2 linked regions of the Mytilus edulis genome follow. The protein of the gene in region 1 interacts with the protein of each later gene in a pairwise test. Links are inferred from orthologs where the notes say so. Each region holds a gene or a part of one and is shown on either strand. Other genes may lie near its edges.

Region 1 (8,297 bases):
ACGAACAAGAACAAACAGCTCTACGTTGCTTTGATATTTATCAATTTTCAGGAAACATTGCGAAAAATGATCTTCAATATTTCGAAAACATGTGAAATAAAATTGCTAACACGGTGGACCGTCGAGTGTCAACAAACGTAGTAGACTTGTTCACTGAAAAGACGAGGATAATGGTTTCATCTGACATTTGTTATGCAAACCCAGTTTTGATCATGATATTTAAAAAGACGTACTTTTTTTCAATCTATGTATTAATAAACTAGAAAATTCCAAATTGTAAATATCTCTTCATCTGGACCGACTTGGCATCTACTACGTTTGGACGGGTCCATTTCATTTGTAAGGTGATCGATAAATATTACGGAGTTTTGACAGAAAAGGAAAACGAACTTATTGTTATGTGTTTTCAACAAGGGTTTCGTTCCGCTAAATTATTTGCGCAAATAAAGTTTGTCTATTTTTAGATTACAGGTAATAATTTGACACTACGCATTAACCTGTGTAGTGATTTTGATTTTACGATAAATGTATGAATGAACGATAATTTTATGAATGAACAAGAGCACCTGACCTCTTAAAGAAACACAAATTAAACATAAAAAACCGTATTTATTAGGAGATAATTCAGTTAAATTTTCAATACTAAATCAGCAACTGAAATGAATCCATATTTTGTTGAAACATCGTACGAACGGCGGAAAACGGAATCGCATTTATAAAAATGTACTTTTTTTCACTCGGACTTCTATGTTATTTGATAGTCAAACGGTTGACCCTTTAAATACAAAAATACATCTACAAGAACATATTCTGAAACTTCTTAAATCTACTAACTTTTTTTTAAAGTTTCAAGCTATGTATTGCATTAGAAAACATACATAGGTGTTAAAGAATGACTGACCAGGAGCCTGTTTAACAAAATACTATGGCTTGATCTGGGCGGAGTCTCTGATCTGGGTCACAAAGATGGCCATACGCGACGGCATAAAAGCAATTGCTTTAAAAATCCAATATGGTGTCCATAACATGTTTTTACTTTTGCACATGTGAAAAAATATTTCTCACAAAAGTCAGATTTCTCTTGTCAAAAGGGATTTATATTTATATTGCAATAAATTATTCAGAAGGATCTACATTCAGTTAAGATTATATTTCTGATTCTGTGAGCAATTATAGTTTTATCAAATTCTCCCAAACAGCAACGTGTTGACTGTCTAATGAGACTTGTAAATTTGAACTATTTGAATAAAAGGGCATCTAATTTACATGATAAAGGAAGATTATAATTAAAGACAACAATTTATCGAGAAATAATTCCTTTTTATTCAGTAAAAACAAAATCTTCTTGCATGATTGTAAATTCGCAACTTCCGGATCCATTTCCTGTCAGAATAACTTTGAAAATATTCGATTGCACATGGTTTTGAACAAATCTACCTGAATATTCTTATCAGATATTCGATAACACGATGAAATTAACATTGAGCATATAGGTAAGGGTTTGGTAGTACAAACAACTACAGCGTAAAAAAACTGTGCCACTTCACATGTTTTACTTCTTTACGTTCGTTAAATCAGAAGATAAAAACAGAGAACATCGAATATCGATTAACTGCGTCTCTTATACGCTTTCTTTTAATCTTATTTAGTTACTTTCAAACGCAAAGATGACAAATATTAAGTTTCGTACGATGACGGAGCGGACCCAAAATAAATCCGAAGAAAAAAAAAAATTCTTCCATAAAACGTCAAAAAAAGAATTTGAGTCGGCTGGTTTATTTTGGGTCGGTCGCGTTTGGGCAAACATACAATCTTTTTATTTTGGCCTTGGTGATTATTTCTTAATGAATCAGAATACCTTTTTGATTTCCTTTTTCTTTCTCTAGACCTTGATCTTTTTCTGTCCTTACTTCTTGAACGTGGTTTTCTTGGTGATCGTGATCTAGATCTTCGTCTGTTATTAGAAACTTTTTCCTCTTTAAATTCCCCTGCTAATATATTTGACTTTTTTTATAAATAAGTTCATGAAGTACAGTATTTTAGATATTGTGATTTGTCTGTATATTGTCAAATGTGTATTATATTTATATTTTTAATATGCCTAATAATATAGGACCAACATGAAACAATAAACTGATACAACATTTATTTTTGAACACAAAAGAAGTTGCAATGGTTTGTTGTATTTTTACACATGATTAAAAAGCCTGAAAAGTTTTAAAGTTTAGGACTTTTAACTTTTAGAATTTAGTCAAGTGGTCCTCCATCACAAGTAATTTTCTTACTCTGTATCTTTAAACAACTGTTTGTTCCTTCTCTTCAAACATATGTTGACTTCAAGATATATTTTTGTATTTTGTATTATGAAGGTTGCTGTCTTACTGATATAAAATATGCATTGAAAATTACAGAAGAATAGAGCACCTGTTAATATCTTTAATTTTACTATGTGATGTTTTGTGAACTTATATTGTGTTTTGACTTTACAGTGTTTTTCTTTTTTTATCATGGTATTCACTATTGTAGGTTTTTGAGGGATTTTTTTTCAACTGTTGTCTTCATATCCTCTTCCTCTTTTAAGGAAAACCAGGACGACATGAAATAATACACAAATTTGCAATTTTTTTGCCTAACTAGCCCATGTTTGATTTTTATACATCATTGACCATGATAATGGTAGAATGTAAAACTCAAAAGCAGTATCCACATTTCTAACAGCTTAATAAAATTCTGATATGTAGATGGACTGTTTCTTGGATAAGTTGTTGTTTGCAAAATTATTATTGCATGTCCATTAACAAAATAGCTAATAATCAATCAAGGATCCCTATCTCTCTGTACAAGAAAACCAGTTACATACCAATTCCTAAAAGTAAAAAAAAGTTAATAAGTTGTAAAATGAAAGTATGAACATGATGAAGGGACTAACACATTTTTTGCATATAACATAATTCAAATACATTCCTTTTGAAATGTACCTGAATGAATCTAATCTATGCCCCCCATGATGGAATCAGTCTAGCTTTGATTTAAAGTTTTACTTCTATATACATGTATGTGTATGCATTTTTTCAATAATTTTCTTAACATTTTAATTACAAGGCAATGGCAGATACAGAAGGGAGGGGGTACTGACTACCATATGAGGGGGCCTGCTCCAATGATACCCTGAATATTCAACCAATATTTCCCACAAAAGAAGGGCCCAGGCCCCCTGTTCCACCTAAATCTGCCTCTACAAGAATTTCATTTCAAACTGCTTGAAAAGTTGACCATGATAAATCAATAATATAAATTTATTTTTGTTGAAAATTTCACAAAGGAAATATAACTAGAGGCTCTCAAGAGCCTGTGTCGCTCACCTGTTAATGTGTTTACTGATGTCGGCCATCTTCGTTGGTAGGCGGGGTCATTAGACACTTTTTTTTTTAAATAGATACCCTAGTACAATGTATTATGATTGTAGCGAAGTTTGATTAAATTTGGACAAGTCGTTTTCGAAAAGATTTTTATACAAGTTACAAAAATGACGAAAAGTTGTTCAATATTGACTATAAAGGGCAATAACTCCTTAAGGGGTCCTCTAACAATTTTGATCATGCTGACTTATTTGTAGATCTTACTTTGCTGAACATTATTGCTGTTTACAGTTTATCTCTATCTATAATAGTATTCAAGATAATAACCAAAAACTGCAAAATATCCTTAAAATCACAAATTTTAGGGCAGCAACCCAACAACCGGTTGTCCGATTCAACTCAAAATTTGTGAGGGGATATATCTTATTCTGATGGACATTTAAATGTTGAAAGATTTGCCCTAAATGTCTTAGTTTCAAAGATATAAAGCAAAAACTGCATTTTACCACTATGTTCTAATTTTAGCCATGTCGGCCATTTTGTTTAGTAGGCTGGGTCATCGGACACATTTTTTAAACTATAAACCACAATGATAATTGTGGCCAAGTTTGGTTAAATTTGGCAAAGTAGTTTTGGAGAAGAAGATTTTTAGAAAAGTTTCAAAAAATGACGAAAAGTTGTTAAAAATTTACTATAAAGGGCAATAACTCCTTAAGGGGTCAACTGACAATTTTGGTCATGTTGACTTATTTGTAGGTCTTACCTTGCTGAACATTATTGCTGTTTACAGTTTATCTCTATCTACATGTATAATAATATTCAAGATAATAACCAAAAACAGCAATATTTTCCTAAAATTACCAATTCAGGGGCAGCAACCCGACAATGGGTTGTCCGATTCATCTGAAAATTTCAGGGCAGATAGATCTTGACCTGATAAACAATTTTACCCCTTGTCAGATTTGCTCTAAATGCTTTGGTTTTTGAGTTATAAGCCAAAAACTGCATTTTACCCCTATGTTCTATTTTTAGCCATGGCAGCCATCTTGGTTGGTTGGCCGGGTCACGCCACACATTTTTTAAACTAGATATCCCAATGATGATTGTGGCCAAGTTTGGTTTAGTTTGGCATGGTAGTTTCAGAGGAGAAGATTTTTGTAAAAGATTACTAAGATTTACGAAAAATGGTTAAAAATTGACTATAAAGGCCAATAACTCCTAAAGGGGTCAACTGACCATTTTAAATATATTGACTTATTTGTAGATCTTACTTTGCTGAACATTATTGCTGTTTACAGTTTATCTCTATCTATAATAATATTCAAGATAATAACCAAAAACAACAAAATTGCCCTAAAATTTCCAATTCAGGGGCAGCAACCCAACAACCGGTTGTCAGATTCATCTGAAAATTTCAGGGCAGATAGATCTTGACCTGATAAACAATTTTACCCCATATCAGATTTGCTCTAAATGCTTTGGTTTTTGAGTTATAAGCCAAAAACTGCATTTTACCCCTATGTTCTATTTTTAGCCATGGCGGCCATCTTGGTTGGTTTGACGGGTCACGCCACACATTTTTTAAACTAGATACCCCAAGGATGATTGTGGCCAAGTTTGGTAGAATTTGGCCCAGTAGTTTCAGAGGAGAAGATTTTTGTAAAAGTTTACGGACGACGGACGACAGACGACGGACGACGGACGCAGGACGACGGACGACGGACGCCAAGTGATGAGAAAAGCTCACTTGACCTTTCAGGTCAGGTGAGCTAAAAACAAAAAGGAAATATAAAAACAAAAAGTTTTCAGAGTGATCTTTAAACATGATTAACAAATGGGTATGATGAACATATATGAAGTTTGAGATTGAAATGTGAGGAAATAGAGGGGAGGTACAATGTATGGGTGCACAAAAACATGTTTAACTCCACCATATTCTGTATGTTCCTGACCCAGACCAGTATTTCCAGCAACCTGCAAATGTATTATTCAGTGGTTGCTGTTTGTTGCTGTATATTATTTTTGAATTTTATTTGCTCTTTTTGAACAAAATCCATTTGTTAATTTTCTACAGTGAATTTTTACCGTTTGGCATGCCACATTACAAGAGAAGATAATTTACATGAGAGATAAAAAGTTAAAAGACAATGATTGAAGACAGCATTTCAAAGCATGCTTGAGGTTTTGTTCTTTGTTCAAGGTCACCAGACAGATTTCACGAAAATGGTAGGTCCTGCCGGTCCTGTCGGTCAAAATGAGGCTTGAACCAATATTTTGAAAGCTAGTTCCGGTCCTGATGACCGATGTAAAAATGGCCGTCGCAGTGCCTTTTTAATCGGTAATTAGTTACACTGCAATACATATTTACCTCGGTCATCAGATGTACCTGCTGGTAATTTCCGGTACTGGTTTCCTATTATAAACAAACGGAAACCTACGGAAACGAAAGCGCCAATCTACATGTGGCCTGCTAAATTTGTTCATTAAGCCATCCCAGGCAAACAATCGATGATTGAACCCTTTGGTGGAGATAACAAATACTGAGAAATTGATTCAGATGATGAAATGGATAGTGAAGATGACTTTAAATAAGAACAATCAGAAGATAAGAATCAGTTATTCATTGTTTATTTGCCGGTGGCTGTGAAAAATCAAACTAACAATAATAAAGTTATTTTAGATAAAATATTTTATTTTTATTTTAGGATAAAATTGACAGATTTTTTAGGACTGGCTAAAATTTTGTAGGACTGACTTTTATTGATCTTGCTTTATCGGTCCCATGGCCAACGGGTCAAAACAAGTTTTCGCGAACTCTGACCAGATGAGATTTAGTAACTAAACTCTATTTCATTTGGTATCTGATGGATTATTATCTCAAATGGCAATAATACATTATCTCCTTATATTATATAGTGAAGGAATGCCAGAATACCAGGAGAGAAACAATTAATTAAGCTCGAAAACTGTAAAACATAACTCACAAAGGCAGCAGAATGCAATGCACAAGATCATGATTTGACAATTTTTAGAAAAGTCTTAACCCTTTCAACGCTATACACGGCATATGTCGCGATGACATACGCCGTCCGCCACTGCTATTCGCGGCATATGCCGCGATGACAACGGATTTTTCATAAGGACTCTTAAACCATTCGGTTTTCATTCGGGTCCTCTCTAATTTTTCCTTGTATGAATCTAGGATATGCAAGGTCTCATTTGCGCTTGAAATCCCGGCATTTTTTATTGTAAAATCATGCAGTAGAAGGAAAATTGAAGGAAAATAAAAACAAATATTTTGACAAATGCAAATGGCGGAAATCGGAAAGGAAGCTGTAAATATGGAAATATTTCAGCATTTCTATGGCAAAACTGATGACTAGGATTAGTTAAAAGGTTTCTTGTTATCTCAATGTGTTTATTACATTCAATTCGTGTGGAAAATATGATTTGATCGATCATTACGAGTCGTAGAAAAAGGGGGGAAAACAGAGATTGACTGAAAATTTTGAGGACGGAGCCACTGATTTGTGCCATGATAACATAATACGTTATGTATGGTGCAATACGCTACGGAATCGAGCAATTGGTGTCTTCTTTATTATATGGCAGATAAAAAAACAAAATAGATGAAGACTAAAAGTAGTTTTTATTCAAAATTCAACACAAATGTAATAAATTACACCTTTTACCTGTTAATTACCTGAAAATGCAGGTAACCTGATACAAATTTTACTGAAATAACTGCCTAACATTACAGTTCATACTCTCCTGAGCATTTTTCATGCAATAACTTTTTCTGTATCTCTTATAATAAAAAAGATACAGCAGTCTGAAAAGAAATATACTGTTCTAATGAATAAACACAAAAAAAATGCAGCAGCAGCAGCCATTTTTCTCTTTTTTTGTGTAGCGTTGAAAGGGTTAAAAGAATTCCAAATGACAGTTTAAAATTTATAGCTTTTGCAACGTTTCGGCAAAAAACCTGTTCAGCTTAATGTGGTTTAGGTCATTAACTAGTTCATTTTGGCCCATTATACTTTTTTTTGGTTCTATCAATGTTTTGAATAATACATTCATTTTATAAAATAAGAGGTAGGTAAATATATCTTTATATGTAATGTAGACTTTCTAAATAAAGATAAACTTGTATGATCAAGCCTCAAGGATGTGTAACTACTTCTATACATCATTGGTGTCATGCAGAGCAGAGTCCGATTTAAAAAGGACCAGAAAAAAATTTGGTTGATTATATAGGTTATTACTGACGAATGACTGGAGCACCCCCTTCTTAGGCAGTTCCCCAACTTACAAAAATTTCTGGATTGACCACTGTAGACTAATTATATAAGTAGCAAGAAAAACAGTCCATTTCTGTGGCCTTTAAAGTTTTATAGCCGACTATGCAGTATGGATGCTCATTGTTGTTTTCATTTTTGTAAAACATTACGACGAAAAATCATGAGAGTAATAAAGTGATTTTTTTTCAGTTATCAAGGACGAGGGTGAATAATAAATAAATGAAAGAATGTGAACATGATGAACAACAAAAATCTCTTTTAATAATGTATGACTGAAATTAAGTTTACTTCATGGCCGAATCATCTCTCTTCCTTTAAATCAAATCAGCACTGTCCTCTACTCAAGCTCTGAACAGCAGTATCATCGAAATAGCAACATATTATTTATAAATAAAGATAACACTTCTGCTCCATTTGGACTAAATTGTTACCCTGACGAATAAGAATCAAAGAACGCGTTACGTTATCGAAAAAAATCTATACACGCACCAAAGCCAAAGTGTTCTTTTTTGTCATGTCCTAAACCCTCGCTTGTCACAAATTTTTACTTGCAAAATGGATGTATGTAACTTTGTCAGTTGCTCTAGTTTTTATTTTAAGGGTTAGTTAAACAAATAAACACCTCTGTTTTCGGCTA
Region 2 (8,306 bases), on another chromosome or scaffold:
TAAGATAGATCTACTGATAAACAGAAAGAAATTTCTTAAAGAACTAAAAGTAATTTTGTGTTTTGTTATTTATTAGAATAACAGTTTGAAAATAACAGCAAGTTTGAAATGTTGTATGTTTTGCAGATGATAAAAAGACAGAATTGAAAGGCAATACATTTGTACTGTATAGTAGGATATTTTTGCATGGGGGTAATTTTTTGCTAGTTTGGGGATTAATGAAGAGAAAACTAAAAAAATCTCCCCACATACAATGTTATCTTAAAAGATCAAATTTAAAAAAAGGCAAATAAAACATTGCAAATAGATTTGGCTTTTGAAATCTCAAAAGTTATACTCTGTGAATAAAACAACCTTTTACAATGCATGCTAGTTACATTTGTTTATAAACAGAAACCTGTTAGAAATGAATTATAAGGAACTTTACATGCACTTAAATTGACAAATAGTAGTGATTATTTATGAGTACTGTATTAGTTTTATGTGGTCTTTATATGACATACAGCTCAGATGGGTTAAAATCATTTGATCTGTGTGAAATATAGTGCTGATAGGCCTAAATCTTAGTTGTTTGTGATTTTATGAAATATACAGCTGTGATTGGCCAAAATTTATAAATAGATTTCATTGTACTTTTGTTATTATAGTTTGATAGAAAACACAAGGTTAAGAGGACCAATAGCTTTTTCTAGTAAAACATTTGAAAAAAATAAGATTAATGATGCTTAGTCTTGTTTCTAAGACGTGTGAGAAGGGGATTGTCCTCTCATTTTGTTGTTAAACATTTAAAAGAAGTATCAGATTTTAAAAAGTGTGGCCATTTAGGATTGTAATTATACAGAAATGCTGCTTGTTTGCATGAATTTTCTTTGAACTGCAGAAGAAAATCATTTTAATCTTTGGTACATATAATCTTAAAAAAAACATTGATTTATGTATTCAAACATTTAAAATGAAAATTATGAGGGGATAAAGTTTATAACATTTAGGTTTATCAATGATTGTACATTTTGTACTATAAATCTATTGCTTCTATCATATTGCAATAAAATAAGTTCAGCGACACAAATTTTCTGCTCATATCTTTTTATTTATGAAGTTTATGTTGAAGTTCTCCGAAATATTATGTTAACAAAATATGATATTTCTTCACACAATCTGTTCATGTTTGATGATTGTCTTTGATTTGTAAATATAAAAAAGTTTTAGTTATCTGCATTGTTATATTTTTCAATTGGATAGATTCATTTAGGGACGACATCAAAAGTTCAATGTAGGATGAAAACTTAATTCATATAGTTTTTTCATTACCCCCCTACCCCCCTCTTAACTTAAATTGGGAAAAATTGATTGACCAATAAGGATATATATAAAGTCGATGTCAATTAAACAAAACATGCAGCAATTTTGACCCCCACCCCCGAGTTTTATTTTTTTTATCCTTCATTGATTTTTTGATGTCGTCCCTTAAGCAAATATGGTAATCAGAGAGACAGTAATTCATAAATTCAATTAAAACTATTCTCAAATGTTTTACTTTGTGAAACATACACTTTTTTAAAGGTATGTTATCAGATGAGCCATGTTTGTTTTACTCATGTCAGTCTTATATAAAGCTTGTTGTGTGAATCTTTATGACGTTCAATGCTATGTTTAATAATATGTGATAATAGCTGTGTGTTTGCAGTTAAGGTAGCTGGGGTGTCTTGGTCAATGTACGTTGAAATTTCATTTTGAAAACTGGGGGGTCACAGACCTTGTTTTTCTTTAAAATACATTGAAATTAACAAAATCAGTTATTTGATATGTGTTATAAAGGGGAAACATATTTTTATAAATGGAGGAACATTAAACAATAAAATTGGTTACACTTCAATGAAAGAACTGCATTTTATTAATATTTCCGAAATATCAAATAACAATGAGGGGTCGCATGCCTTATTTTCTTGTAAACATAAAAATTAAACACATATTGTTTTATCAATGTCTATATAATTATCTACCCTTGATTTTACAAAAAAAAAATCCTGAAAATTTGAAATCCACTTAATTTTTGGATAGTAAAAATCTTTAAATTTCAAGTCAAGTATTTTTGCAACATGTCCAGAAGGAATGCTTAAAAAAAAGATATACCTCTATCTTACGTGCAACAATCGTATTCTGAAAGAGTGTTTTATTTTTGAACAGAAAGCTAGGGGTACTACAACTATAATAATATTGCTTTTGTCCAACTTTATGTGTCGTTTATCACTTGCTGAGGTTTAAGGATCGTCAAAATATGATTAATTCAAAGAATTATTTACAAAATAGAAAAATAAAATATACAAACTATTTAAGATTAATGTTATGTTTAAAAAAATTAAAACGATAGTAGATGAAATTCATGTTGTTTGAATTCTAATGATCATTCATTTCTATTGGATATACTGATATATAAAACAGTTTTAGTAATGTTTTATTACCAAATTGTAACCATTTTGAAAACCGTATTTAAGTTTTTATAATGTAATATATGATCAATTTAATGAAAATTACTGGTAACCCCTTTTCTAATATGTCATGCATGGGGTACAAATTAAAGATGTAATTTTAGTTAGATTTTGATTTATGATTATTTTGCATTGACTTGTTATATGATTTGAGAAAGATTTTGTTTTTATTTGTGTGTATGAAATATTTGTATATTAGAAGTGAAGTTGAAACCAGAATTATACAGATGTGTTTAAACATGCTGATGTTGCACTTATTAAAGATTCGTTGTAGCTTTGTTACATTTGTTGTTCTTAAATTTTTAGTAAAGTTTCAAAATATAAATATATATATATATATATAAATATATATAAATAAACATGTAGAATAAAAAGGATGAGATTCAAGATTATGGTACATTAACAGAAAGCAAACAATAGTGAAACACAAATTTATTGGAAACAAAGGGATATGGCCTGACTATCCATATGAAAAAATTATATGTTTATTGTTTTTATTTGACAGCTGTAAAGATTACACCTAAAAACAAAACTAATATGGCCTAATTATGACTTTTTATCTGGCTGTGCTGAAAAAAAGGAGGTCTTTATGTAGTCATTTTGAAAATTGGTACAAATGTTCCCTATGATATGCTCCATCTAATTTTAATGCCAAATTTCACTGAACAAAGAAAATGATAGTGCAAGCGAGGCATCTGTGTACTATGGACACATTCTTGTTTTTTAGGTGTTTCTATAAAATATATTGAAAACTTGAGATTACATAATAACTAAAGCTTGTAAACAGGAAAGAAAAGGATGGAAATTTGATTGGTTAACTTCCAGCGATGGTTGTCATCATTGTATATGCAATGAAATATTATGTGATTTTTTTAGTAATGGACAGGATAAAACTTTACTCACACATTTTGTCATAGCAAATATTTCTTTATGTGAAGCAAAGATAAATTCTGCACAATTTTTTTAAAACTGCAATTTTAACAAAGACTCAAAGGAGAAACAATGGTGGTATTACACCGGTATTGTAGTTCTCATAGAATTTTGAAACGCTGGTGAATACCTGAGAAATTCTATAATTATAAAATGGGAGGAAGATACAATAAAAAAACAGTCAAAATACAATTTAAAAAACAATACATGTTACAATATTATACAATACTCTACATCTTAAAATCTTATACAATATAATACAGTACAATACATTTAACAATACAAACATATTTTAAGCAACAATACAATACAATACAATACAGTAGGATATGTTATTTCAATTGTAATCTTGTGCTTGCCTTTGAATTGTGATGTTGAGGATTTGAACCATGGCTGGGTCAAAACCAAAGACCTCAAAATTGGTATTTGCTGCTTTTCTTTTTGGCGTACCAAATTAAGGGGTACGAGCAAAGACTGTTCATATAGGAGTCCGAAAATGTATCCAGATAGGACAACATGTCATCATGCAGGTTGTTACCGTGGTGAACTAGCACCTTATTAATCCAGCTCAGCATGTTGGTCTAGTACAAAGCAGGGTTGGTATTTATAGTTCATTAACATGTTCTCGTCCTTAATATGCATTAAATTTGCAGCTGGACATTAAGCCATCATCGTCATTCCCATTAAGGTCATTAACAAACTATGATGGTGGGAACATAGAAAATTTATTATACCAAAATTAAGGGGTGAAAATATAACACTTTACAAATTGCCTGCATCTAAAGCACTTTTCCGGATTAACTTCATCAGATACACTCAAACTTGAACATTAGAAAGCCATGTATAAAGGAAGAGAAACACTTCAAAAATTAAAGCAATGTGTATTTATAGACTTACTCAGATGATTTGCCCTTAAATATAGGTTATTATTTTTAAAAGAATTTTACAGGTGGATTGACTTTTGACAAAATTATTACATAATTCAGTTATGATTAAACTTGCCAGTTGGATAAAGGTTAAGGCTCTCAGGAGAAAATACACAACTTATTCCTTAAGAAAGAAAGTAGCAAATTAAGAATAAGGGCACACTCACTAACAATAGAATCTTGCAGATAACTGATATCCAAAAAAAATCTACTTAAAGAACACCACATCTTCCTATATCTATTAAAGACTTAGAAAATTGTGCATGCAGGACATGTTGAAATAGATAGTGACAATTCTTTCTCAAGTGTCCTCACTATATTTAAATTAGAAGCACTGCTGAGCCTCATGATATTCTAAGACTTAACTTATAACAGGCTGGTACAAGTCAAATTGGCACCTGGTTAAATCGGCATCTAGTCAATTCGGCACCTATTTAAAGCCAATTAGTTCCAATAATATTTGATACAATATATTATATATATAAATAATGCTAAAAATGTATAAATTCATGATCTATTTTGGGGGTTTGATTTTATCATGCATTATAACACATGTGTGATTCAACTTAAAAAATTTGTTTTTACAATTAGTTTATTAGTGTAATATCACAACTCTGTTGGGTTTTTTCCAATAGAAGATAGAATACAAATTACAAAATACAACTTTACCAGCAGTGAAATTCTACTTAAGGAAAATTTATATGTGCCTGAAAGGTTTTACTGTACTGAAGATTGAGAACATGGTTATGCGTTATCATCATAGCTATAGTTTTTGGTAATTAGGCAGACTTTAAAAAATTATCATGGTTCCCTGTTTTAAAATTTATAAATAGGAGCAAACGTGTACATGTTCTTCATCGATCTAACGTCAGAACCAGATATTCAACATGGCAGAGTATCTGGCATCGATTTTTGGAACAGAAAAAGACAAGTATGATCAACAATAACGCACTAACAAATTAAACAACGAAATGATCATTTCTATAAGATATGACGAATTAAGGATGCTCATTTTAATACCCTAAAATGAGCCTCATTATAGCTGATAAACAGAGAAAATGCCAAGCACCGGCTCGTGCCATGGGCTAGCCTAATGACGCACTTGAGGCTTTGGCTTTATTGTTCTCTAGACTCCTAAAATGATTAAATCTAGTATTAAATTGGGTTAAATATGATATCTTATGACTATTATGTACGTTTTCATAATTCTAGATCATGACTATTGTAAAAAAAAAAAAGTTAAAAATAATCAGAAAATCTCACACCGATTCACTATAAGTCTTACATGTCTGAGGTAAATACCTTATCGCTATGTGGAAATCTGCGCCTTTTGAACTATTGACTTCATACAACTATCCATATTCCATTGTGGTGTCAGATATTTTCAATTGTGACGTCAAAATTTAACAGACGAGTAAAGGTGGATAAAAAGCATTAATTTAAATCTGATAAACGAAGGGTGAAAGATTCCAGAGGGACATGCAAACTCATAAATCGAAAATAAACTGACACCGCCATAGATAGAAATGAAAAAAAAACCAAACAAACAATAGTACTCAAAACACATCATAGAAAAAGACTATTAAAGCAACACAAACCTCACCAAAAACTATGTGTATCTCTGGTGCTTTGGCATAATTGCGACCTTTACAGACGCATGATAAAAACCAAAATGGCAAAAAGCCATGCTAACAACTATTAAATAAAAGGTAAACGGACAGAAAGTCACAGGACAAAAAGTCACAAATAATTTGTTGACAATTGATTGAATATACGAGAGAAAGATCTTGAAATATTTTCTTTTTGTAACTTAAATTTATTTCGTAAGTTTAGGCAATTGTTCATAAGCCTTGATATATGAAAATTTATTAAAATTAATCATACATATATGCACCACTTTGAGTACCTCAGGCAGAATAAATTGTATATAAACTGTCCTGAAGACGCCTGCCTAGATAATAAAATTGCAGACCATTTGAAGTGTTGTTGTCAATTTTGAATATTATTTATAATACTAGATTGCACATTTACAAATGTATGCTTTAAGAAATAGGTGTCATAGGAATTAATTGACAAAATTTAGTTTCAAAGAAACACATTGACATTTTGCAGGGTTTAAGCTAGGATTTTGAGGGCTTTAGTCACTTTTGCGCGCTATTAAAATCAACCTTATTTTGTGTAAAAGCAAGGGACCAATGATGTATATTATTAGCTTCATCTTTTGACTTAATTTGTCAGATTTTAAGGGATTGAGGCACCAGCATGATTGGCAGTTATTGTATGATTTGACTGTATTGGCCATTATTATGAAAGATTCTGAAATGGAATCCAGAAATTTAGTTCACAATTTCTCTTCAGTTTGTTCCAGGGGTCATTCCTGATCAACAAAAGTTGGATTCTATTTTTTTTAAACAAGGAATCACAGCAGAAATTAACTTGCAATGATTATTTCACTGCATAATCATTATCCATATAAAAGGTCTAAATCGATATTTGGAAATCATTTCTTTCAAGTTGGAAATGTGTAAAATCCTTTTTGGAACTATAATAATGACTGAAAGTAGGTTGTAAACAAATCAACAATAGATCACGTTTACTACTTTCGGTTTTAAAATGAAACGAAAACGGGAAGTGACACGTGGATAATAAATTCAAAACGAGTCCGGATTCATCAGGAAATTATCATTTTTTTGTTTAAATTCCTTTAGTAAGAGATATTTGTCTCTCTCGTTTAATTGATTCTAAATTAAATGATTTCGTATTTTACGTTTTTTTTAAAGTCTATAAATAGTCAAAGGAATACTTTCACGCATGCGTAGAACACAATACAGGAAGCACCTGTTTAACTCGTGACAGTTTTGAATAAACACATTAAAGTTCTTTATTTTAAATGGAAATTGTCGAAAGTTTTTTGATGAAAATTTAAATCAAATATAACGAAAATGCCTTCAAATGACGAATCTACGACAAATGAACTTCAGATCATTGGAAAAATATTGAAATTCAAATGTGAACTGACCGGGTTGTTACATTTTTGATTAATTGACGAAACTAAACTCCTGGTTGTTGAAATGACTTGACGACTGACTGATTTTCCTGGGGAAATAATTATGATGGTCATTCAATTATGGGGTTTAATAATAATTAACGGATTAGTGACCCATCAGATGGCGATAAGCGGATTAGTTGTAATCACAACTTGTAACACCTGTTAAAAATGTTAATTACCTGGAGGTCATAAACTTGTCAAAAACATGAAGACAGGTAGATTTATAGTTTTTATTGCGAATTTTTTTTTACACTTTCAAAATTAAAGTGACGAAATTGATTTGAAATACTTTCGTCAATGAGAAAACCCTTTCGTAAAATACGAAAGTGACGAGCGCTAGCAAAATCACTGCATTTTGTAATTGTTTCATTTCAGAGTTAACTGTTCCTTTTACTTTAAAATTGGTGCCTGTCGACATGGAGAAAGATGTTCACGTCTTCACAACAAACCAACTTTCAGTCAGGTGACATAACTTAACATTTTTTTTTGTTATTTAAGTAGATCATTAGTCTCATCAATGAGTAAATTTTTTTAGTGTTTAAGAAACACAGAAAAAGACATTCATAACTTTAATTGTTAATAAAATAACAAACATGAAAAAAGTAATTTCATTATATTTTAAAAGTTTTTAACGTCTTACATGTAAGTTTTCGAACCTGTTTCTGTTACATTCATGTTTCATACATGGAATCATTTGTACAACGCTAAATCCATTTCTTGAAGTACTGCAAACAAATCTCATTTTGAATTAATTCTTTAGCATTGTCTTAAAGTTTGTTTGAGTGAACCAATGCATTGAATGTACATGTAACTGAAGAATTGATTATGATACGATGTGTATTGTATGTTTCAGACTGTTGTTATGATCAATGCCTACCTGAACCCACAGAATGCTGCCCTTACAGCTGATGG

Evidence for each region. The genes of interacting proteins can lie anywhere in the genome.
Region 2: the proteins of splicing factor U2AF 50 kDa subunit-like (region 1) and splicing factor U2AF 35 kDa subunit-like interact in binary tests that used the Drosophila melanogaster proteins (3 or more experiments, as listed by UniProt). The link is inferred for Mytilus edulis from reciprocal best matches to the Drosophila melanogaster genes U2af50 and U2af38.

The regions. Positions count from the first base shown.
Region 1 is NC_092352.1:31,991,348-31,999,644, reverse strand, and holds the start of splicing factor U2AF 50 kDa subunit-like, read right to left. Parts: upstream 3,392-8,297; coding exon 3,379-3,391; intron 2,867-3,378; coding exon 2,861-2,866; intron 1,989-2,860; coding exon 1,859-1,988; intron 1-1,858. UniProt on the Drosophila melanogaster protein: Necessary for the splicing of pre-mRNA. Binds to the polypyrimidine tract of introns early during spliceosome assembly.
Region 2 is NC_092348.1:80,711,056-80,719,361, reverse strand, and holds the start of splicing factor U2AF 35 kDa subunit-like, read left to right. Parts: upstream 1-5,151; 5' UTR 5,152-5,232; coding exon 5,233-5,276; intron 5,277-7,769; coding exon 7,770-7,857; intron 7,858-8,247; coding exon 8,248-8,306. UniProt on the Drosophila melanogaster protein: Necessary for the splicing of pre-mRNA. Binds to the polypyrimidine tract of introns early during spliceosome assembly.